6 linked regions of the Sus scrofa genome follow. The protein of the gene in region 2 interacts with the protein of the main gene of each other region in a biochemical or structural test. Links are inferred from orthologs where the notes say so. Each region holds a gene or a part of one and is shown on either strand. Other genes may lie near its edges.

Region 1 (3,500 bases), on a different chromosome or scaffold from region 2:
AAAAAAAAAAAAAGCTGTTCTGTTTTGGGTGCAGGACTGGTGTTACTTGTCTGGGACTTAATCTTGAAGCCTGGCGGGGTGAGAGCCTGTGGAAGGTGTGCTCAGAGTGCTGGGGTGGAGCTGCACCTGTTCCCATGCCTCCTGAGTGGCAGGGGCTTCAAGTTTTGACCGTCTCTGTTCCTCATGGTGGCACGAGCACACCTGCTTGTGGACAGTGCACCACATGCAGTTGGTCCGGTGGTCTGCACTAACTCACCCTGCTTCCGAGACCCGGGCTCCTGTGTCGTGCTGGAGGCTGCCACGGTGATCCCCAAAGGACACCCAGAGTTCCCGGCTCCATGGGGCCCCTGGGCCTGGGGCCCGTCCGTGTCATAAACACCCACTGAGGCTGCCATCCCGGCCTCGCCGACCTGCTGGTCTGCGGTTGAATGGTTGCCGCAGCCCCACCCTCCTGCACAGACAGGGGTGTGTTTGTGTTGGGGGCCTGGCGACAGAGCAGCCAAGGAGCAGATGTGGGGTCAAGGTGTGATTTGTGCTGCTGGAGCAGCTGGGGCCAAAAGGGGTGTGGGGTTGGGCGCGCCAAGTGATTAGGGGGCCGGGGCTGCTGTGAGCAGCAGGCGGCGGGCGGACCCCCTGTGTTTGAGGTGTGCCCCCCCTCGGCGGCGGGGTACTTTCTGGATCCTCCCTTCTCAGGCTTGGTAGTCGGCAGTGCTGTGCTGAGGCTGGGGTCCTGGGTCTGGGACAGGGCTGGCAGGGCTGGTTTCCGGTGCCGTCTGTAGCAGGAGTTTGGCCTTGACTGGTTGAGTGCCACGTTGTGGCCGCATCCGCTGCCCATGTGCTTCCAGGATGCCCCCCCCAGGTCCCCCGCCGACTTGTCAAAGCCTTGCGTAGCGGAAGCACTTGACCTGAGGATCCTTAACATTGTCAAAGACACTGAGGAGCACTGGACACAATGAGGGTCAAGTTCTCCAGCAAGTTCTGTGTCCCCTAAGGGCTGCGTCCTCAGGGACAGCAGGGGTTACAGTCGAGCGCCCTGTGCCTGGCCTGCGTGATGCGGAAGCGGCGGGCACCAAGCCTGGAGGGTCTGTGGTCCGGAGGTGCAGGGGGAGCCCCACACGAGGAATGAGCAGGCTTTCCAGCAGCCCCCCTCCAGTGGGCCTGCTCCCCTTTTTGTCGTCTTTCCTAAAGCAAATGGGAGGCAGTCTTGGTTTGCTCTTGGCAGCGGAAGTGGCAGTGATCCTGGGGTGGGGCCAGTGAAGACGCTCAGGCCTGGCGACAGTCGCAGCGGGGTGCTGGCCTTGCCCTCCTTAAGCTGCCCTCTGTCCGGGGAGCTTTCCTCTGCTTCCCTTCCTCCCGGCGGGGCCTGAGCCTAGATTCCGAGCCCCCGATTCTGTGCTGGTGGCCTGACAGCACCCCAGCTGCAGCAAAGGATGCGGCCCCGCCCCTGGCTTCCCAGGGCTCAGGGGCTCGACACCTCCTGTCTTGTCCTTGCCCCTCGTGTGGGGTCTGGTGGTGAAAGTGGGGTCCCTTTCATTCCGGCAGGCGGCACAGCCGGAGAGGCAGGACTGTCGTGCAGGTGGCTGCTGGGAGCACACGGTGTCCCCTCCCTGTGCGGCCTCTAGCAGCCGTGACCTGGGCCCGGGGTCTTGTCTCTGCCCCTCCGGGGGTGGGAGGTTGACCCGGTAGGTACCTGCACAGGCCGGGACCCAGGGGCGCGAGCGTCTAGCCGGCGGGCAGGGCAGCGTGCGGGGCGGCGGCGCGTGGGGCCGGGTGGGGCCCTTTGGGGGCCTGCTCCTTGGACGTGAGCCTGCTAGGCCGGGCCGCCCTGGCTCACCGCTCACCCCGCACGTCTCTTGCAGGGACTGGAGATGTCGGGGATCGCCCTCAGCAGACTCGCCCAGGAGAGGAAGGCCTGGAGGAAAGACCACCCCTTTGTAAGGAAAGCTTTGCTTCGGCGGGGGGCGGGGGGCGCGGGCCGGTTCCCCGGAGACCCTCGTGCCCACGGGCCGGCCCTTTGGCCCCTGCAGCGCAGCCAGAGGGCTTGTTCTGGGAGTGGGGGGGCCACTGCCGCGGCGCTGACGGGCCTGTGTGGTTTCTCGCAGGGGTTCGTGGCTGTCCCCACAAAAAACCCCGACGGCACAATGAACCTCATGAACTGGGAGTGCGCCATTCCCGGGAAGAAGGGGGTAAGAGGGGGCCCCCGAGAGGGCTCGGGTTCAGGTGTACGGGACGCTGGGGACGGTCACGTGAGCCCTGGTCCTGTCCCTGGTGGGGGGGGGGCACCTCAAAGACAGGATGACAGGTGGTCCCTGGGCATGTCCTGAATCAGGTAGGACCTGGGCTGTGGCAGATGGGGAGGGAGGCGCCGCGCGGCCGGGGGCCAGGGAGGTGCCCAGGCTGAGGCAGCCTGGCCGGGGTGACGCTCCCTGGGACGCCTGCCTGCCCCTGGGTGTGGAGGCCGGGCGTCGGCCACCGAGCTGGCTGTGTGGGGCCCAGCGTGCCCTTCATGCCTGGCCACGGGGCTGCCCCTCGGCCCATCTGAGTGTGCCCGGGTCTCTTCGGACCGGCACATGGCAAGCATTTGGGAGGAAGAGTGCGGTGACCCAGGAGGAAGGAGGCGCCCCCTTCTGTGCTGGGTGATGAGAGGCTCCGTGGCCTCCATCCGTGGCCTCGACGCGCAGGAGGGGGACCCGGGGGCCTGAGGGAAGGCCCTTGGCACCTCTTCCTGGGGCCCACGGAGGCCCTGACGGTGCGCGGGGTGGGTCGGCGGGGTTCTCTCGGTCCGGGGCACGGCGGGAGCAAGCGCAGCCCCTGCTGGGCCAGACCGGCCGCGGAGACCCCTGCTCACCTAACAGAGTGTTGCCTCCCCGCAGACGCCGTGGGAGGGAGGCTTGTTTAAACTGCGGATGCTGTTCAAAGACGACTACCCGTCCTCACCGCCGAAATGTGAGTAGAGCCGAGTCCTCCCAGATCCCTCAGCGTCGGCCGCATTCCTCTGGGACCGAGGTCCTCAGAGAGCTTGGGCCTGTGGGGCCTCAGGTATGTGCCCTGCTCCCCGCAGCTCCATGGGCGCCCGGGGAACTCAGAACAGGCCCAGCTCCCACCCCGGGGGCCTCCTGGGCCCTTCCCGCCGGCGGATGAGCTCCCGCCCTGGGCCGGCGTGCGCGCTGAAGGACCGCGGACCAGAGCCGCCCCCCAAGGGGACTTCCTCGCTGGTTGGGGTTTCAGGCCCAAGCTGCCTGTGCAGACGGCAGAGCGGGCGGCGGGAAGAGAGGCCGAGGCTGCGCCTGCGGTTCTGCTGTGGTGGACGCAGTAACCCGTTTACTTAGCGAAACTCGGGAGGGTTCTGTCGCTGGAGATCCGCACTGGCTGGTGAATGGAGTGCCCTGGTACCTGCCCTGGCGTGTGGAGGGTGCCTGGCAGGCTGTGAGAGCCTTGACTCGGCTGGCTGGAGAGAAGTGTGCTGTCTTTTAACGGCACAAGCAGACTTTCTGAGACTC
Region 2 (4,239 bases):
AATTATTGCTATTACAAGTGAAAAATTCTAAAAGTCAATATAACCAATTTACTCCAGTCTCTACCAAAAAATGGCACTAAAGATCAATAATTTACCTAGCCTACCATCATTCACATATACAATAGTTCCTCTGTATAATCTATGTGAGAACCACGGAGGTTAACTTTCTGAGAAAGGACAACACTTTGTTTCATTACTAGATACATTACCTACTCAGCCTAGTCTCAAAGTCAAAAGAACATTTATTTATTCTGTATTAAGATCCTACCTTCTTCCAAGAGAGGTCAAAAGGACATCCTCATCTGACACATCCTTTCTTTGCTTCCACATCCCAAAGAAACATATCTACACTCTGGCTTTCTGAACTGCAAGGGCCTCATCTCCCTCTTTTAAAACCCTGATAGGCTGACTGAACAGTTAGGAAATACTCTAACCCCTGACACTCAGCACCTAGTCTTGCACAACACCCAGCTACCTCCTCTGAGAAATTTCCCCACCCCCAGACTGAATGCCCTAGTCACCCAAAGCATTTCGGGTATACATATGCCCCAGCACCTACCTTATAATTAACTAATTATGTCTCCCCAGATAGACTGGATTGAAGGCAAGAACAGCAGTGTCCGGGCCAAAGATTCAACTTTAGTACTTAGCACAGTGCTGGGCACATCTCTCAGGTGCTCAAAAACTGTTACATTTTAACCAGATTCTCTCCTCTCCCCTAGTACTATCTCCTGCTGGATGCCCTACTCCAAAATCTGAACATAAGGCTGCTCTGCTCTCAGTAGAGCAGGCTAACACGATGGACTGCTGATTACAACATCAGAAAACCTACTCATCAGCTTCTCCCATTGGAGAGATTCCCGGAACCCAAACTCAACTGAGCAGAATTATGTATACCATCAGAATGGGTGGGAATTCCCAGCACACTACAGAGGGTGCCTTCTCCTCCAAAAGGATTGCTGAAAAGCTCACAGGGGAAGCTTTTCCTGGGGAATCTTCACTGAGCAACTGAACTGGAAATACTCAGAGTAAGTGCCTTGATTTGGCTGAAAAGGGTTCAAAAATATGAACATCTGGCAAAAGTCAGCTAGCTCTCAATTCCTGAAAAACAGTGGCTTCTGAAGAAGAATGAGCAGGAAGAATGGGTGCTGGCCACTCTTTGTTTCAATAAATAAAATCTTTTTTTTCTGACCCACAGCCCACAAGAAAAGGCCAGTACTCCAGGCCAGATGAGATGCTGAACAACCTTTCCTCCTGACAACCACATGAAACTGCGTTAGAAAAACACTGCTTTGGGAATCTCAGCCCCAATGAAAAGTTCTAGTCGGTGTTACTTTACTTAAAAAAAAAAAAAATCTATATGCCCAAGTCCAACATTGGATGGCCCACAGACAACTTGTAAACTTTCTGAAAGTAGATACCACTACCCTGGCAAAGAACACAACTTGGGGAAAGCAATCTCAAAAGGTGAAGAACTCCACAAAGGAGGGCTTTAGTTTTAGAGCCCTAATTCTAACCATCAAACATCTCACCGAAGGGGTGGGGGGATCAACAGTTGCTCAAGGGTATCTTTCATTCTGGAAGCAGAAAAGGAAACAAACAAGAAGCAGTAGGGGAATAACCCCTCAAATAAAGTTCTCTTTGGAAAAAAATAGTAACAATTCAGGCTCCCACCCTTCCCTCTGCTGAGGTCTGTGATTTATATGGCTTTGCTCTGCAGAAAGCTCTTTCTGGGCAGCTCAGGGAAGGAGCCGAGGGAGGGAGAGAAAGAGACACAAGCACAGAAAGGAGAGGAGAGAGAAAAAGAAAATGGCGCAGAGACTAAGTCCCGACTGTCGACAGGGCGACTTTCCCGGGAGGAATCCGGGCCCGGAAAGGCTGCCCGACGCCCGGTGACGGGCGACGCGGGGTCTCCGTTGCCCCCTCTTGGGAGGGCCGCGATATGGGGGCAGTGGGGTCCCCGGAAAGGGGGTCCAGAGGCGGCCCGATGGGAACAATGGGGCCGGTGAGCGAGAAGCCGGGACTTAGTCTCTGGGACGCCATGTCTGTCCTCTGCCCGGCTCGGGCCGGGCGGCCGGGGACCCGGGGTCGGGGAGGGGGCACACTCACCATTCAGTCGGAAATCCGCCTCGATCTGGGGAGAGAAAAGGAGGGACCGTGAAACAACAGGCACATTCACCCCGCGGCGGCCGGCGGGCGAGCGCGCGCGGCCGTGGGCCGGTCCCACCCTGCGCCCCCCGGGATGGAGGGGCCCCGGGAACGGCCGCCAGGGCCCGCCAGCCCCCCAAAATTGGAAGTTGGCGGCTTCCGCCCGGGGAGCCCATCGCCTCCGGCCGGCCGCCCCTACCCAGGGGTTCCGGCCTGTCAAAGCGGCCAGGCCGAGGCCGGGGCCTGCGCCGGGGGTCTTGGAGGGCCGGGGCGGCGCCGGGGACCCAGGCGGGTCGGGCAGGGCCGTACCTGGGAATCGGTGTGGAGATGGTCCCCACTCATGTCGGCAGGAGTGGCGAGTGCGGCGGGCGGCGAGGGGCGCCGAGGAGACGCAGACGGTCGCTACCGGCCTGTGCGGGTGGACAGGGGCTTCCGGAGGCTCCCGAAGGCTCCCGGAAGCGCGAGTAAACGTCGGCGGGGCGGGCCTGAGACTCCCGGTAAGGCTGAGGCGGCGACAGCGGCGGCGACGCTGACTGACTGCCGGGCGGGAGGCGAGAGCAGACCCCAGCAGTTGTGTAACAGCCTAAGTTCGCATTTCGGCTCACTGCGCCTGCGCGGCCGCTTTTAAATGAGACGTCGCTGACGTCAGAGACTCGCGGAAGGAGGCCGAGGGTTGTGGGGCCCGCCCCCTCGCACTTCCCAAGGAGGACCTGGCTTTGCATCGTAAGCCCCGCCCCTTAGTCCTCGCGCGCCGCTGTGATTTGCATGAGAAGTTGACTCCTCCCACGGCCGCACATCCTGAGCAGCCTTCTTTTCCTCTCCCAGCGCCTTTTCTCGGAAACCAGGCCCCTCCCCTAGGCTGTGCGCAGGCTCAGCCCGGACACCGCCTCCGGACCGGGGCCGGCCACTCGGCCACGTGGTGGGCCTTTAAAGGCCGCGGCGGGACCGCGCCAGGCCTGGTCCGTGCTTCTGTCTCGCTTTTTCCTCTTCTCGGAGATTCAGAAACCCTGGCGTTCAGGGCCCCTGAGCTCTCACCGGCTATTCCTCTCTCGTTAACCATACTCCGAGGCTATTTGATGGGAGGAGCTCCTTCCCCAGCCTTTGTCCAGGCTTTCCAATTCCTCGATTATTTCATGCTTTCTTAAAATTTATTTTATTTTTTTTCAGCCCACCAAAAGTCTGGTTTAGCTCCCGTTTTCAGTCGGGTACGTGTGGCCCTGGGTCTCAAGAGGCCTAATTTCATTAGTTCTTTCTTCAGACCTTCCTGAGCCAGGAATTGCGTTAAGAAAAAGGATAGGATAGGGACCAAAGAGAACCAGATCGCGGGGTGAACACGACCTGGCTCTGTGCCCTGCTGTATCCTTAGCGCGCAAAGAGGCCTAGGGGAGAGGAATTGGAGAGAGAACTGCCGCTTATGGAGCATCTACTCTGCTCTGATTTGACACAATAGCTCTTTGAGGTCGCCTATTTTACTAAAGTTTAATTGTGTCAGAGATAAGTGACCTACTAACTGCCTACTTGACATCTCCTTTTGGATACCTCACAAACTTCCCTAAACTCACCATCTTCCTCCACCACCCAGTTAGAAAAGCTCCACCCTGGACATCTTCCTTTTCTTTCTCATTCATCCAGCTGATTGCATGTTTTCAATCTTTCCCTTGGCCACACACCTGTCGAAGTCTGCATTATCTCTTGCTTGGATTATACTACATAATACATTCCTAACAGGGATCCCTGCTTCCCTTCTGGCCCTCTCACAAGTTGCTCTGCAACAGTAGCCAAAGTAATTTCTCTACACCAGATCTATTATCCCCTCCAACAGTACTTCTCATCTTAGTACAAAGTTCAAAGTTCTTTTTTTTTTTTTTTCTTCCTGGTCACACTCATGCATGCGGAAGTTCCCTGTCTGGGGATGAAACGTGCTACAATTGTAACCAGAGCCACAGCAATGACAACCCAGGATTCTTAACCCACTGGACCAAGAGAGAACTCCATAAACCAATCTAATTTTGAATTCTGCTCTTCTGTTGATTAGCTGTGTGACTTCAGGAAAGTTGTTTAACTTCTCTGAACCCCTATTTCCTCATCTGG
Region 3 (4,057 bases), on a different chromosome or scaffold from region 2:
ATTCATGTGATAAAATTGCATAGGGCTACACACACATACACCTGAATGCAAGCTTTTAAATGGTGAAAATAAAATAAGGTCTGTAGCCTAGTTAATGGTGCATATTAATGCCAATTTCCAGGGTTTTACATTATACCAAAGTTATATATAATATGTCATCACTGGGGGAAGCTAAGGGTATGGATTTTGCAGCTTCCTGGGAATTTATAACTATTTCAAAAGAAAAAGTTAGAATTTTTTACAAAAAAAAAATGAGAGAAGAAAACCATTTTTGGTGAAAAATTTCCCATTGCACAGGGTGGTTCTCTTTAGCTGTTGCTTTATCCACAGTAACTTTACTCCCACCCCAAACGCACAACATACCAACTTTTTGAAAGGTTTCCAATCAAATGAAAGGTGTCTTAGACTAGGATGTACAGAGAAATAAAAATAGTTCAAAAGAACACTGGTATACTCTTTTTTAAATTCACCAATTAATATTTTAACCCCTTCACTTCATCATATAGGATCTATCTGCCCATCTATATCTTTGTTTCTGAACCAACTGAGGGCAAGTTACACAAATTGTGGGACTTTGCCCTTACATACTTTAGCGTTTATTTCCTAAGAATATTCTTTTACGCAGTCACAGTGTTGTTAGCAACTTCAATAATGTTAGCACTGATTCAATACTTTGTCATCGTCCTATTCCACTTTCATCAATTGCCCCAATAAAGTCCAGTATAGAAGGCAACCTGGGGCCAGATGCTGCACTTAGCTGTCATGTCTTTTCAAAAGCCTTAGATTTAGTAGGTTCAGCTTTGCTATCAATGTCTCCCTGTCACTGGGCACCCAGAATTCTTATCTGTGAAGTGGGATGGTGTTAACTGCCTCAACTATTTCTTTTCGTGAGTAAAGGGACTTTAACAGTCCTCTAAGAGCTAAATGGAGTGTTTCTCTGCTGCATCATGATTCTCCAGAAACAGCGAAACTTATTTTGTGGGTTGGGGCAAGAGGAGACTCGCTTTGGTTTTCTCTTCCAGCCTGAGAAAACGACGTAGCGGGGAGGGAGGCGAGATCGGATTCAGGAGAAGAACGAAAGTGGAAAGGAATCTCTCTGGAAGACCAGGCCGAGACAGTGCTAGACTCCCCTTTTCCCCTCACCTGGAGGGCCCAGCGACCAATCAGCGGCGGGGTTCGGGAGTACGGCCAATGGGAAGGCGGCGCGGCGCCCCCCCCCCCCCCCGGGTTATAAGTGCACCCGGGCCGCGGAAAGTGAAAGTGGTGCGGCCGCAGCCGGCGCAGCCTGGGCGCAGATGCCCGGGCCTCTGCTCAGGCGCGGGTGCTGAGCCGCCAGGATGCTCCGGGCTCCCGAGCTACGGCCGGGGGAGGGGGGGACGGCAGGCTGCAGCCCCCGCGCCGCACCACCCATCCAGTCCAAGCCGCTTACCTCCTTCCTCATCCAGGACATCCTACGGGACCGCACGGAGCAGTGCGGAGGCCAAGCGGGCAGCCCGCAGCCGCAGCCACCGCCGCAGCCCCGGCGCCAGCCAGACCAGAGGCGAGACCCTGAGCCGGAGCCCAAGGGAGGAAGAGGCAGCGCCGGGGCGCCTGAGGACCATAGGAGCGCCCGGCCCCGCGCCGCGCGGAGGGAGGCCGAGCCGCCGGCAGAGACCGAGCCAGGTAAGCTAGCGAGGTTGGGGAGGCCGGTCTGGGCCGGGGTGGGTCCCACAGGAAGGGCAGCCGGCCCGCGGGCTACACCGCATGAGAGCGTGTGCTAGGCGGACCTCCTGGATCTCTGCTGCAGAGATGCGGGAGCCGGTGGCGACAGGCAAAGAGACCTCACCGCCTCCGCTGCGGGCGCGCCTGGGAAATTAATCCTGAACCCCAGCGTCTGGGCGGCGCAGGATTTAGACATGGGCTTGACTCGCCGGGCAAGGTGCTCCCTGCGCCGCTAGGAGACCCAGGCTCAAGGGTGAGCGCACAACACAGCGCCCACCGTGCCCCAGGGTCCCAGGTGGAAAACCCCCACACCGCTCCCAGCCACCGCGGGACCCACAATCGACGCTAGCCTCATGTTACCTCTTGGCAGTTACAATAACAAGTTACTGACAGTAACTTATTAATATTAATAAACTAGGATTTGACCTGCAAAGACTCCCTTTGCTTCCCAGTCCCATGGGCAATAAAACAGTAAATTTAGGAGCCCCTCTGGTCTTGAGGACATGTAACACCGTCGGAACATTTGCAGTAGACTTTCTTTTCTTTCTTTCTTTCTTTTTTTTTTTTTTTTTTGGGTAGTTAAAATTGGTACATAACATTATATTAGTTTCAGGTGCGCAACATAATATTTGATATTTATATACACTACAAAGTGATCACCACAATAAGTCTATGTATCATTACCATTCAATTGACTGCCTTCTTACAAGGCATCCTAATGGCTCATTTAAGAAGTGGGGGGGGGGGTTTAGAGCAAGTGAATGAACTCTCTACCACGGAAGCCCTCTCTTGCCACCAGGGCATTAACACCAGATGCCTCTGGGGCCTGCTTTTCCAGGTATCTTATTTCTCAGAGCCTGCCCTGCCTCCCTTCTCCCTCCTCTCCTCAACACATGGATCCAGAATCCCTATTTAATTCTACTGGACAATGTGGCAGGAAGTTCTACCACTAACCTCTCCTACCTTGGGGTCTTGATGACTCCTGGAAAATGAATACATGGTCTAAGTTGACACTCATGCCCCACTCATAGAGTTCCTGAGTCCTGTGAAAAAAGTGCAATGTATCCAAACTGACAGTGGGCTGTTTGTTCACTCACCAGAAGAGATAAGGGTGGATTGAATTCTATTCTCTTCCCTGCTAACATGTAACGTTTTCCTTCCCATCCCTGCCTCTCCGCTCTCCTTTCCAGATAGGCACCTTGAGACTTATCTGCTGGACTGTGAAAACACTCCAGGCGCCTTGCCGAGCCTGCCCCCAACCCCCAAGCAGCCGCAGAAGCGCTCCCGGGCCGCCTTCTCCCACACTCAGGTCATAGAGTTAGAGAGGAAGTTCAGCCACCAGAAGTATCTGTCGGCCCCCGAAAGGGCTCATCTGGCCAAGAACCTCAAGCTCACGGAGACCCAAGTGAAAATATGGTTCCAAAATAGACGCTATAAAACCAAGCGGAAGCAGCTCACCTCGGACCTGGGGGACCTGGAGAAGCACCCCTCCTTGCCGGCTCTGAAGGAGGAAGGCTTCTCTCGGGCCTCCCTCATCGCCATGCATCACACCTACCCTTACTACCCCTACCTTTACTGCTTGGGAGGCTGGAGCCCAGCTTTCTGGTAACAACGCCGGCTCAGACAACCATGTGTGATCAAAAGCTGCCTTCCCCTGGTGGTCCCTCTGGAAGGCAGAAGGGCCCGGGGTCAGGGAGGACTGGGCCGCAAGAGACCTGCAGACTGAAAGCACTGGAGGTTTGCTTGGAAATCCCAGATTCTTCACTGGTGTGCCAATGAAAGACCTGGGACAGGAAATAACTTAAGAGCCAAATAGGTCCCCCCCCCCACGGGAATGTAGGTCATTTTTGCTTTGAGAGACCCGCTTGAAGTGGGGCGGGATACAGTCAAGTGCTGTTTCCAGCATCACTTGTGGAGGCTGCCCACATCACCTGTGAGAATTCTCCGCCTCCAGCTCCATCCTCTTTTGTGACTGAGCATCCGCTCCTCCTGAAGGGGGTGTGGGGGAGGGGAGGAGAGCTAAGATGAGATGTCACCTCCAGAATTAAACTGAAGGTCAGACGCCTCTCATTGGCCTTGGAGTATGACCACGGGTTGCTCTCCATCCCTGGGGGAGAGCAGGAAGCACAGGGTCCCACAGAGAAGCCTGTGGTGCTCAGGGCAGGTTGGCACAGGATACAGAGATGGGTAGGAGGAGATGAAAATATAAGCTTCTTATTCTTCCTTTTAAAATAATAGGCCAACTGAAGTATTTACAGGGTGGCCCAAGCAGAACAAGAAGAACTCACTGTGGTTTTAAGACAAGCTGTCTAAACAGAAACTTTCCCTCAAGAGGTGGGCTGGGGCCGGAAGAATC
Region 4 (4,300 bases), on a different chromosome or scaffold from region 2:
AGTATTCCCAACTAGATTATCTACACCAATAAATTGGAATTCTATTATTTTGCTTTCATTTTGTCTTAAAAAAATGAAGTAGCAACGCTATTATATCAGTCACACAGAGGACATGCAGATTTAGCAGTATTGATATTATACTCTATCTGGTTGGAATTAAAGACACCCTGTACCCACAAGTACACCAACAGCAGGTCACACATTAACAGTTGTAACTAAGCACTGTGACAAATTAATCAGTTCTTCCCACATTAGTCCCTAATAAAACAAAAAAGGGAAGGGAGCAAAACAAATTGTTACAAAATGGGCCATGTAATTTTGCCACAATTGCCAGAGTTTTAAAGAGTAAAGCAATTGTAGCCAAATATAACTGCATAAAATGTTTTCAAGTGTTTTAAGATAGATGTATATAATCACTTTAAACCCTTGCCTTTTAGTATAAGGTCAATACTGCCAATTTCATCTGTGACAATAGCACTTGGAGTCATACCATTGCCTCCATTATTGATCTGATCCTCCTCAATCCTCCTTTTGACAATCCTAAAATGATTGAAATGTGCTCCACAATCCTTAATCCAAAGCATTCTTAATCCATCTCTTCAGATATGTCTACAGAAAGACACATGAAAAGCAAGATAAACATAAGAACTTCCCCAGGTAAGATAACCACCAACACCCCCAACATCCCAGTTCACACAAACCAGAGCAGAATAGACATTTACACAGTATCACAGTCTGAAGAGCATGGAGAGTTAACTAAATTTAAACAATCCTGTCTATGACATCACTTAAAATACAATTTATCAGACATGAGGGGAATGTAGATGTTAGGAGCAAGGGGATATTACACAAGAATGCAATTCAACACTTTAGCCCACTCTGAACAAAAACAGTTTTGAATTAAAAAATGAAAAGATTGTACTGAATAAAGGAAAACTGTATACAACATGGGTTCTACAAAAAAGTGTCACCAATCATCTTATGTACGAGAGCGAGATCTGCTATGACGGGGAGAATAGCGTGGTGATCCTCTGCTTCTCCTTGGGGAATAACTGCGACTCCTGCTGTTGCTTCTGCTACGGCTTCTGCTACGACTACGGCTTCGAGATCGAGATCTTCCATAACTTGGACTTCTGGGCCCATCAACTTTAACCCGGATGTAGGCAGTTTCTCCCTATTGGATAGACAGAACTTTCGATTGAAAGATCTAAGCTTTCACCTGTCTTCAGGCATGCTGAATGAATCAACGTAACTCAAACCAGAAATCTGGCACTTTACTGGGTTTTTACTTGGACACCCTTGCCTGAATCTTACCTTCAAATTCCACTGTTAAGACCACTGTATCCAATTCTGGCCAAGGAAAAGAATATAACCTACCTCATGAGATCTAAACTTAGTGTTATCCAGTTTTCGAACTGCATAGGTCATATCTTCTTTCCGTACAAACTCCACGACACCAGTGCCATCTCGGTAAACATCAGCATAACATACATCACCTGCTTCACGCATGTGATCCTTCAAATCCTGCCAGCTTCCACTTGGAGGCAGTCCTGAAAAAGTGCGTTTTCTTTCAATACCAATTATCCTAAGTTTCACATTAAACATAAAGGTTACATTAAAACAAGACTTAAAACCAACGGTCTTTAACATCCCGTTTAACGAGCTGTTAAAAGAGTTCGGAATCAAGAGTCCAAAATTATTTGTAAAGTTAAGGCTCTTCTTATCTTCTAGGTACTGCAACCTAATTCGCTAAGTCTCAAATAGAGTAGTCCTTGTTAACTAAAGTCACCCAAGGCACTCCGGTTTAAGTGAAGACCTGGCATGAAAACACCAAGAAAAACTTCAAAACGGTGTGCGGTCCCCTTATCATCAATCCGCACGGACCCGCCAACTCACCAGAGACAACCACTCTGTTTTCAGAACGCCTGGATGGGGGGCCATAGCGCCCTCGGGGAGCCCCGCCGCCACCACCCCCGCCGCCGCCTCGGCCGGTACCACGGCCGCTTCGAGGAAACTCCACCCGCAGACGGTATCCATCGTAATCATAGCCGTCGCGACCATACACCGCGTCTTCTGCGTCTCTGCGTGACCAGAGAAAGCCAAGGGGTAAGGAAAAGAAGAAAAAAAAAAAAAAAGGGCCAGGAGGGGCGGCTCACTCCGCCGGGGAGCGAGCGGGCCCCCGCACATGCGCACCGGGGTGGAAGAGCCCACATGCGCCGCATAATAGGAACGGCCCCTCCCCCACCCAGAAGCACGCCAGGCTCCCGACCACTCCAGCAGCCCTCGGCGCCTCAGTTTCCCGCTCCGAGCCTGCGAGTCGGCTCTAGGGACGTCCGTGGGGCCCGGCCACCAGAGGAGCCACGCCGACTCGGCTCCTTACTCGACTCCTGCATGGGCGATATCGTCTGGCCCCCAACCCAAGAACCCACCGCCCCATTCCCCAAGTGAAGGCCCCGGAGCCTTCCCCAACTACTCCAACCTATTTCCTCAAGGCCGCAAGCCCCTGGCCGCCTCACCGCGGGTCCTCGAACTCAACGAAGGCGAAGGGCGGTCCTCCGCGGCGATTCTTCAGGTCGATGTCGCGGATAGCACCGTATTTGTAGAACACGTCCTCAATGTCCTTGGTTCGGATGTCTGGAGGTAAGTTACCCACGTAGATGCGGCAATCGTTGTTCCCTGCCGGGCCACGGATCACACCACCTCCCGACATGGCGGCGACGAAAAGCGCGGACTCGAGAACAGGCCTTCCCACCAAGCCTAGCGAGCGGGAGAGCGAGCCCGCAGCGACACCACGTCTCCCGCGGCCCCTCCAAAATGGCGCCTTTATCAGCTCGGCGCACGGATATGGGGGGGAGGGAGGAAGAGAAGCGGGAGGAAGCAGCTATTCGATCTCACTACGCACGCGCAAGAGCGTAACGGGTGCTGCGAGAGTGACGCTCGCGCAAGCGCGACGTCACCCTCCGCGCGAAGGGAAAAAAGTTCCCGCCTTCCCGATTTGTCGAGGGGTTTAATAAGGGAGTGACCAGCCTTGTGGCAAAATTAAATATAGAGCTCTCGTAAAAGGGGTTATTAATCTCTGTCGAATCCTAAAGAATCAGCAGTTTCCTCAGGAATGTTTCTCTCAAAAAAACGGCGTCTTGAAAGTATTTGGTGAAACCTAGCCTAAAGCTAGGTCCCACCATGCTCTGCGCTGTTAACGGCCTTTGGCGGGAAAGACTGCCGGGGGCGGAGTCAAAGGGGGAGGGACCAGGCGGTTGCTCCGGAAACACGGGCATCCTTGGAGAGTGCACCTCGTTCAGGAGTCGCGTTGCGGGTGAATCAACGCGGAGCCGAGACGTGACTTTGTCTTCCCGCCCCATCTGCGAACGGGCCGTGGACTGCTTGGACGACTGTCTAATGCAGGGGAACCTGGCTGAGACGCTTTAATAAATATTCTACGCTAAGTACCGTTCCACCTTCGGTTCAGAACTGACCTCAGTTCAACGCTCCTTGTGCTCGTGGCGGTAATTCCTGGCGGCATCAGCCAACCAGGACCCAGACCTCTGCTTCTTTTTTAAATCACCTATCGCCAGGGCCCAGCGCAGCGGAGAGGTCCAGTGAAGGTTTGCAGAATGAATTGTGTCTGTTATTTCTACAACGTCTTTCAAAGAACGAAAAAGACGCGCGCCCTCCTGTTTGTATTGCAGAATCCTGACGTTCCTTCCTTTTTTGGAACTCATTAGCAAATCTCTCAGGTAATATGAATGAGCAAAGTGGATGTGTGAGGATTTCTGTGACCACTGGAGACCGAAGTGGCGGCTTAAGGACTCATCTCGCCAGCATGTTGGTCCAGGGAGATAAGAACTTGTTACATTTTGCCACGGAGCCATCTGAAATCTGGATTTTTATATGAAATACTGGGATTTTAAAATATTAATGGTGAATTCAAATTAAAAAAAAAACCCTGTCATAAATATGCTGAAACAGGTCTGCACCCTGATTGAGAGGATGATTTTCTTCATTTTTATTTATTCGCATCAATCCCTCTCCCCAGTGATGTGATGCTGTTTACAGAGATACCAGAAAACGTTATTGCAATTGAATGGAGAAATCACGGAGAATATAAGGGGAAATTAAAATGAAGTCATGGATAAAGTTAATACACAAAATGGCTGCAGTAAAAATTTGTGAGTTCTAAAGATGGATTACAAATTTGACCCTAGTCATCATGGCAGTCACAGTAAAGAAGGAAACAGTATATTCAAGATCCAAAGTGCCTTAAAAAGATTTTTCAGAAGGTCATGTTTTCAGTTCTAAAAGG
Region 5 (3,500 bases), on a different chromosome or scaffold from region 2:
AACAGGAACGCCAAGAAATACTTTTTGAGATCCTACAATGTACAGGTGCTCTGTCATAACTGAGAATAAACTATGTGCTGAATACTTAGAACAGAGCTCTAAGATGGTATGTACAGAGTAGTTATGGCTCAGTATTTTTGAATTAAAAATATCATAAACACACTTGAAATGTAACCAGTGTGTATAGAGAATACAAATGGAGTAGTTAGGGATCTGCTCTACTTCCAGTGAGGACTATTAGGTTAACAATTTAGGTACATCTAGGAGTTCCCGTCGTGGCACAGTGGTTAATGAATCTGACTAGGAACCACTAAAAGCTTGCAGGTTCGATCCCTGGCCTTGCTCAGTGGGTGAAGGATCTGGCATAGCTGTGAGCTGTGGTGTAGGTTGCAGATATGGCTCAGGTCTGGTGTGGCTCTGGCGTAGGCCGGCAGCTGTAGCTCTGATTCGACCCCTAGCCTGGGAACCTCCATATGCCTCTGGAGCGGCCCTAGAAAAGGCAAAAAGACAAAAACAAAACAAAAACAATTTAGGTATATCTAATCCATTTACTTACTTATTGATTTTTGCTGCGGCATATAGAGGTTCCCAGCTAGAGGCTGAATGGGAGCTACAGCTGTCGGCCTACACTACAGCCACAGCAATGCAGGATCCAAGCTGTGTCTTAGCCAAAGCTCCTGACACCACTGGATCCTTAACCCACTAAGCAGGGCCAGGGATCCAACCCATATCCTCATGGATACCAGTAGGGTTCATTTCTCCAGGAACTGCTCACTTTTAAAAAGTCTAACAAGTAGTGCCAGGCACTGCTGTAAACATTTAACATTCCAATTCATTTAATCCTCGTAACATCACGAAGCAAAAAAGAAGAAGGTTAAACAATTGACCCTGGCCGACTTGCCTATATTTAATCTAATATAGATAAACATCATAAATAAACATTAACAAGTTACCTATCATATCATAATTAGCTAGAGTTTTACATACCTTTCTTACTGTCTTTTCCCTTTGGTTTTTCTAGTTTAATTTCATTGCCAAAGACTTTTAAACCAGTGAGTTCCAAGGCTTTTTCCAGGTCTTCAGCAGATTCAAAATCCACATAGCCAAACTTCCTTTAAGGTGAAGAGGACAAAAAAAAAAAAAGTTACAGGTGGAGGAAGAAAAAACAAACCAAGCCGCACTGAACAAGAGCCACCTTACGTGGGTTCTGGGCAACAGAACACTAACGTGATGATGCGAACAGGGACTGAGGAAGTCGAAAAGCACCTAAACCACTGGGGCTGCAGGGAGCATCTAAGTACCGATGCAAGCTTACCTCCAAGATGCTCATTAGCTACACTGCACACAACAGCTGACGTGATGACAAAAGAACCCTGCTTTAGCACTAAGACAACCCAATCCTGGAGTTCCTGCTGTGCCACAATGGGACCAGTGGCGTCTCTGCAGTGCCAGGATGCATGTTTGATCCTTGGCCCGGCACAGTGTTGCCAGAGCTGCGGCATAGGTCCCAACTGTGGCTTGGTCCTGACCCCTGGCCTGGGAACTCTGTATGCCGCAGGACAGCCAAAAAAGGAAGGAAAAAAAAATATCCTATCTAATTAAAAGCATTAACTAACATAACATAGCTGTTCAGGTGTAATAAATATTCTAAGAACATCAAATCTTATAACGAAACATGTGCTGTATCAAGAGTTATGGGTGACTGGAGTTCCCATTGTGGTGCAGTGGAAACAAATCCGACTAGGAACCATGAGGTTGTGGGTTTGATCCCTGGCCTCACTCAGTGGGTCAAGGATCGGGTGTTACCATTGTAGCATAGGTTGCAAATGTGGCTCAGATCTGGTATTGCTGTGGCACTGGCGTAGGCCAGTAGCTAATTAGACCTCTAACCTGGCAACCTCCATGTCGCAGGTATGGCCCTAAAAAGACCAAAAACGAAAAAATCCATTTGGGGTTTTTACAATTTGACAATTCAATGACTTAATAGCTAATCTCTGAACGCTCTTACATACACACATTTAAGCTAAGGTTCTACAAAAGGAAGGAAAACATGAGCAGATCCACGCGCAGAAGTACTGTGGCATTAACTGCTCCATACCTACCTAGACACACCAATTCTGACGTCGACAACAGCAAGATCATTTTTAGCAAAAACGTCACTGATACCCGTTTTTAATTCAGAAGCAGATTTGCTGAAGTTCAGGTTTCCAACAAAGAGATTGAAAGACGTAGTTGGTTCTGTGGCTGCACAAAAAAATTAACACAAATTTAGTCTTTTCTAAAGTATGGCATAAACTTCATTTCCAGCGTAAAATTTCATGGCACATCAGCACATTGCAGTGTCACATCAGGTTTCAGTATTAAGTCCCTGTGTTGTTCATCACGTGTGCTATTGATCAGGTGTCATTCACCAGCCCCAATTCTCCAAGTTACCTTCCACCTTCTGTTTCTTGGCTTCAGGAGCTGCTTTCTGTTTGGCCATCTCCTTCTTTCGTTTTCCAGGTGCTTCTTTGACAGGCTCTAGACAAGATTTCAAACAATCTGTATGTCAGCCACAGTCAGCCACACATGCTCAAGTACCTTCTTTAAACAAAAAAGTCAATGTACTTCAGAATCTTAACTTGATTACCTTCCTCCTCCTCCTCCTCGTCCTCGTCTTCATCTTCCTCATCCTCCTCCTCCTCCTCGTCCTCCTCTTCATCCTCGTCCTCATCATCATCCTCTTCATCCTCCTCGTCCTCCTCGTCCTCCTCTTCATCTTCATCCTCAGCAGTGCTCTTGGCCTTCACAGGAACAGCTTTTGCCGGGGCTTTTTTCCCTTTGGCTGGTACCGTCTCCATAGCTTCTTCTTCAGAGTCTGAAAGAGAAACCAACGGGTCTCAAGGGAACTCAGAATTACCCCAGTTCCAGGAAAATGTAAGGGGGAAAAAAAGTGTACTCCTGCCCATGTCACTGTGCTTAGCAGCCACAAGAAGAATTAACAGCACTTGGAGATAAACTCCTTCATCATGGAAAATACAAGGTAAGCTGAAGTGTTTTACTCAGGAGCAGGCAACCACGCATGGGTACCCCGCCAGTGCACCCCAACCAGCCAAAAGAAACCTTGCCATGCGTCCCGTCAAAGGCCCACGTTGTCGGGAGTCGAGCATCACTGCCTGAACCTCAACCCTAATATATCTTGCAAACAAGAACCCAACAACTACTACACAATGCCTTACCATCTTCCTCCTCCTCGTCATCCTCGTCCTCGTCCTCATCCTCATCTTCATCCTCCTCCTCCTCCTCATCATCGGAGGCCGGAGCAGCAGCAGCAGCAGCTCCTTTCACCACTGCTGGCTCAAAGTCGTCCTCGTCCTCCTCTTCGTCCTCCTCATCCTCTTCGCTGTCGTCTTCGTCTTCCTCATCACTGTCTTCTTTCTTGGCATTCTTGCCATTCTTTGCCCCCTTAGCTGGAGCGGCTGCTCCCTTCTTACCAGAGGTTGCCACCAATGCTTTGGCTG
Region 6 (3,500 bases), on a different chromosome or scaffold from region 2:
GCGTAGGCCGGTGGCTACAGCTCCGATTCAACCCCTAGCCTGGGAACCTCCATATGCTGCGGGAGCGGCCCAAGAAATAGCAACAACAACAACAAAAGACAAAAAGACAAAAAAAAAAAAAAAAAGAAAGAAAGAAAGAAAGCTAAGGTGCCCTAGATGAGCAAGTTTAGTTTGAAATCTATGATGAAATATTTATATTTTACAATCATAGGTTTTTGTTGTGGGTTTTATTTCTTTTAATTTTCTTGGCTGGATATGGCCAATGAGTCTCTTGTTTAGAAAATTCGAATTTTATTTGACTAGACAGCACAGTGACTGGTAATAGGACTTCCTATAATAAAGGAGGTGGAGAAAGATGGATAATAGGCCCAAGAAAACATACAGGAAGAAATTAATATTTGCCATATGTAAATGATTAGTATAGAAAACAGGTGAAGAGAGATTTTATAGGATAACAAGGCCAAAATGAATGCAATTAGATTTCAGCTCTGGCAAAATCATTTTGTAAGTTGTGGACCAATATAAACTGATAAATTTAAAGAAAACAAAACTAGTCTTTAAGATTCTAGTGATCCTTGTGGGGAAAGATAAGGGGACTGAAAGCATGATTTCAGGATACTTTGTAGTTGACTGGATCAAATAAAAAGTTGAAAAAAAGCTTCGTAGGGATGCCGAAAGGAGTCAGTGATGAACTGAATATCATAGTGGAGTAACAATAGTGTAGTATAATACTAGTGTAGTAATAATAGCAGCAACTAACATTTACTCAGCAGTTGCTACAACCAGACACTGCTCTTGAGTGCTTTTTACATTTACTTACTTCATTTAATCTTCACTAAAAGATCCTTTTCTGTGTGTGAAAGATCCACCAAAAGTAGAGAACTTGTTTAAATATAGGTGAATTTTCTGGTGTGCAGATTTTCTCACTAAAGCTATTTTTAAAGGGACATATGTAATACCTACCACAAATAAAATCAGTAGTCCATATTTTTTGAGACATATGTATGAAAGATATAAGACCTTACACAGAAATAACTCCAACTGAGAACTCTGATATTTTGGGGGTTTGTTTTCTAGAGGATTGGGGGAGGAGGACATAACATTTTTAAAAATCTGGGATAATCATGAGAAAATGTTAGTTGTTAAATCTGAGTGGTGGATACATGGGTACTTGGTATATTTTCTTTTGTAATTTTTTGTACAGTTCAAATATTTCTCAATTTTTTTTTAAAGAGTAAGAGAATATTACATAATATCTGAGAGCTTACTAAGTACCAGGCACCTTTTCTAAGGGTTTGGGGTTTTTTTAAAGCATCTTCACAAATCCTGTGAAGCAGATTGTATTATCAGTGATCTACAGGTGAAATTGAAGCGTGAGGATAGTAACTAGTTCTTAGTCACATTGCTGGTGTGGAATCAGGATTTAAACTTAGGAAATCTGACTTTTAGATCTTGTGCTTTAAGTACTATGTTACTATGCTACACTGCCCTTTTATGTTACAAAGATAGTGAACTACTCAGCTATTTTCACCAAAGTGTGTTTCAGTCATTTGCATTTTTTTTTCAGATTTAGTCATTCCTCTTTTATCAGGTTACTGATATTTTTTTTTCCCTTTTACAGATAATGGCATCAGCCGCTAAGGAATTTAAAATGGACAACTTTTCACCTAAAGCAGGCACTAGCAAATTGCAGCAAACAGTTCCAGCTGATGCATCTCCTGATTCTAAGTGTCCTATATGCTTGGATAGATTTGATAATGTGTCTTACTTAGATCGCTGTTTACATAAGTTCTGTTTTCGATGTGTACAGGAGTGGTCAAAAAACAAAGCTGAATGTCCACTGTGTAAACAGCCCTTTGATTCTATTTTCCATTCTGTGAGGGCAGAAGATGACTTCAAGGAGTATGTCCTAAGGCCTTCACACAATGGTTCCTTTGCTACTCCTGATGTTCGGAGATTCCGCTACCGTACAACTATGACAAGGGAACGAAGTGCTTCTGTTTATTCACCTAGTCGTCCCTTGAATAGAAGAACAACAACTCCACCAGATAGTGGAGTACTATTTGAAGGGTTAGGCCTTTCAGCAAGACCCAGAGATGGTGAAATTTCTCCATTCATGAGACAGATTGCAGTGAGGAGGCCAACAACTGCAGACGAAAGATCTTTGCGGAAAATTCAAGAACAGGATATTATTAATTTTAGGCGAACTCTTTATCGTGCTGGTGCTCGAGTTAGAAATATTGAAGATGGTGGTCGCTACAGGGATATTTCAGCTGAATTTTTCCGTAGAAATCCAGCTTGCCTTCACAGATTAGTCCCCTGGTTAAAACGTGAACTCACGGTTCTCTTTGGAGCTCATGGATCTTTGGTGAATATCGTCCAGCACATCATCATGAGCAATGTTACTCGTTATGACTTGGAGAGTCAGGCATTTGTGTCTGATTTAAGGCCATTTTTACTTAATCGGACTGAGCATTTTATACATGAATTTATCAGTTTTGCTCGATCTCCTTTTAATATGGCAGCTTTTGACCAGCATGCAAATTATGATTGCCCTGCTCCTTCATATGAAGAAGGTAGCCATTCTGATTCTTCAGTCATAACAATATCTCCAGATGAAGCTGAGACCCAAGAGCTAGATATTAATGTAGCCACTGTTAGTCAAGCACCATGGGATGATGAAACTCCAGGGCCATCATATTCAAGCTCAGAGCAGGTGCAGGCTTCCATGTCTTCCCTTTTAAATACTTCTGATAGCTCGGATGAAGAACTTGTAACAGGAAGAGCCACATCTCAGATACAAGGAGTACAAACCAATGAAGACCTAAATAATGACAGTGATTCTTCTTCAGATAATTGTGTTATTGTTGGGTTTGTTAAGCCACTAGCTGAGAGGACCCCAGAACTTGTTGAACTGTCCTCTGATTCTGAGGAATTAGGCTCTTATGAGAAAATGGAGACAGTGAAGACACAAGAACAAGAACAGTCTTACAGTTCTGGTGATAGTGATGTTAGCAGATGTTCATCTCCAAGGTCTGTCCTTGGAAAGGATGAACAAATAAATAAAGGTCATTGTGATTCTGGTACAAGAATCAAATCAAAGAAGGAAGAGAAACACTCTACATCATTGTCCTCTCCCAGAGACCTGAGCTCATCCATCAGAGGAGACAGAGTATATTCCCCATATACCCACAGACACAGAAGGAGGGGAAGATCGAGAAGTTCAGATTCACGCTCCCAGAGTAGGAGTGGGCATGATCAGAAGAATCGTAGAAAGCATCATGGGAAGAAAAGAATGAAAAGCAAACGATCCAGAAGCAGGGAGAGTAGCAGACCTAGAGGTAGAAGAGACAAAAAGAGGTCAAGAACTAGAGATAGCAGTTGGTCTAGAAGAAGCCAGACTCTGTCTCTAAGTAGTGAAAGCACAAGCAGATCAAGATCTCGTAGCAGTGATCATGGTAAAAGAAGATCACGGAGCAGAAATAGAGATCGTTACTATT

The links.
Region 1: the proteins of TOP1 (region 2) and UBE2I form a complex in vitro, tested with the Homo sapiens proteins (2 studies listed by BioGRID, with this or other methods). The link is inferred for Sus scrofa from reciprocal best matches to the Homo sapiens genes TOP1 and UBE2I.
Region 3: the proteins of TOP1 (region 2) and NKX3-1 form a complex in vitro, tested with the Homo sapiens proteins (2 studies listed by BioGRID and IntAct). The link is inferred for Sus scrofa from reciprocal best matches to the Homo sapiens genes TOP1 and NKX3-1.
Region 4: the proteins of TOP1 (region 2) and SRSF1 form a complex in vitro, tested with the Homo sapiens proteins (2 studies listed by BioGRID, with this or other methods). The link is inferred for Sus scrofa from reciprocal best matches to the Homo sapiens genes TOP1 and SRSF1.
Region 5: the proteins of TOP1 (region 2) and NCL form a complex in vitro, tested with the Homo sapiens proteins (2 studies listed by BioGRID and IntAct). The link is inferred for Sus scrofa from reciprocal best matches to the Homo sapiens genes TOP1 and NCL.
Region 6: of the proteins of TOP1 (region 2) and TOPORS, one has a biochemical effect on the other in vitro, tested with the Homo sapiens proteins (2 studies listed by BioGRID). The link is inferred for Sus scrofa from reciprocal best matches to the Homo sapiens genes TOP1 and TOPORS.

Annotation. Positions count from the first base shown.
Region 1 is NC_010445.4:40,562,442-40,565,941, reverse strand, and holds part of UBE2I (SUMO-conjugating enzyme UBC9), read left to right. Parts: intron 1-1,542; exon of another isoform or gene 1,543-1,682; intron 1,683-1,859; 5' UTR 1,860-1,868; coding exon 1,869-1,934; coding exon of another isoform or gene 1,935-2,102; coding exon 2,103-2,186; intron 2,187-2,873; coding exon 2,874-2,946; intron 2,947-3,500. UniProt on the Homo sapiens protein: Accepts the ubiquitin-like proteins SUMO1, SUMO2, SUMO3, SUMO4 and SUMO1P1/SUMO5 from the UBLE1A-UBLE1B E1 complex and catalyzes their covalent attachment to other proteins with the help of an E3 ligase such as RANBP2, CBX4 and ZNF451.
Region 2 is NC_010459.5:43,708,831-43,713,069, reverse strand, and holds the start of TOP1 (DNA topoisomerase 1), read right to left. Parts: upstream 2,801-4,239; 5' UTR 2,491-2,800; coding exon 2,458-2,490; intron 2,135-2,457; coding exon 2,110-2,134; intron 1-2,109. UniProt on the Homo sapiens protein: Releases the supercoiling and torsional tension of DNA introduced during the DNA replication and transcription by transiently cleaving and rejoining one strand of the DNA duplex.
Region 3 is NC_010456.5:7,784,237-7,788,293, reverse strand, and holds the start of NKX3-1 (homeobox protein Nkx-3.1), read left to right. Parts: upstream 1-1,257; 5' UTR 1,258-1,337; coding exon 1,338-1,662; intron 1,663-2,891; coding exon 2,892-3,310; 3' UTR 3,311-4,057.
Region 4 is NC_010454.4:34,279,319-34,283,618, forward strand, and holds the start of SRSF1 (serine/arginine-rich splicing factor 1), read right to left. Parts: upstream 2,801-4,300; 5' UTR 2,711-2,800; coding exon 2,517-2,710; exon of another isoform or gene 2,090-2,516; intron 2,082-2,089; coding exon 1,897-2,081; intron 1,551-1,896; coding exon 1,378-1,550; intron 1,175-1,377; coding exon 980-1,174; 3' UTR 1-979. UniProt on the Homo sapiens protein: Plays a role in preventing exon skipping, ensuring the accuracy of splicing and regulating alternative splicing.
Region 5 is NC_010457.5:132,167,715-132,171,214, forward strand, and holds part of NCL (nucleolin), read right to left. Parts: coding exon 3,219-3,500; intron 2,858-3,218; coding exon 2,630-2,857; intron 2,521-2,629; coding exon 2,434-2,520; intron 2,245-2,433; coding exon 2,103-2,244; intron 1,113-2,102; coding exon 988-1,112; intron 1-987. UniProt on the Homo sapiens protein: Nucleolin is the major nucleolar protein of growing eukaryotic cells. It is found associated with intranucleolar chromatin and pre-ribosomal particles. It induces chromatin decondensation by binding to histone H1.
Region 6 is NC_010452.4:33,872,929-33,876,428, forward strand, and holds part of TOPORS (E3 ubiquitin-protein ligase Topors), read left to right. Parts: intron 1-1,621; coding exon 1,622-3,500. UniProt on the Homo sapiens protein: Functions as an E3 ubiquitin-protein ligase and as an E3 SUMO1-protein ligase. Probable tumor suppressor involved in cell growth, cell proliferation and apoptosis that regulates p53/TP53 stability through ubiquitin-dependent degradation.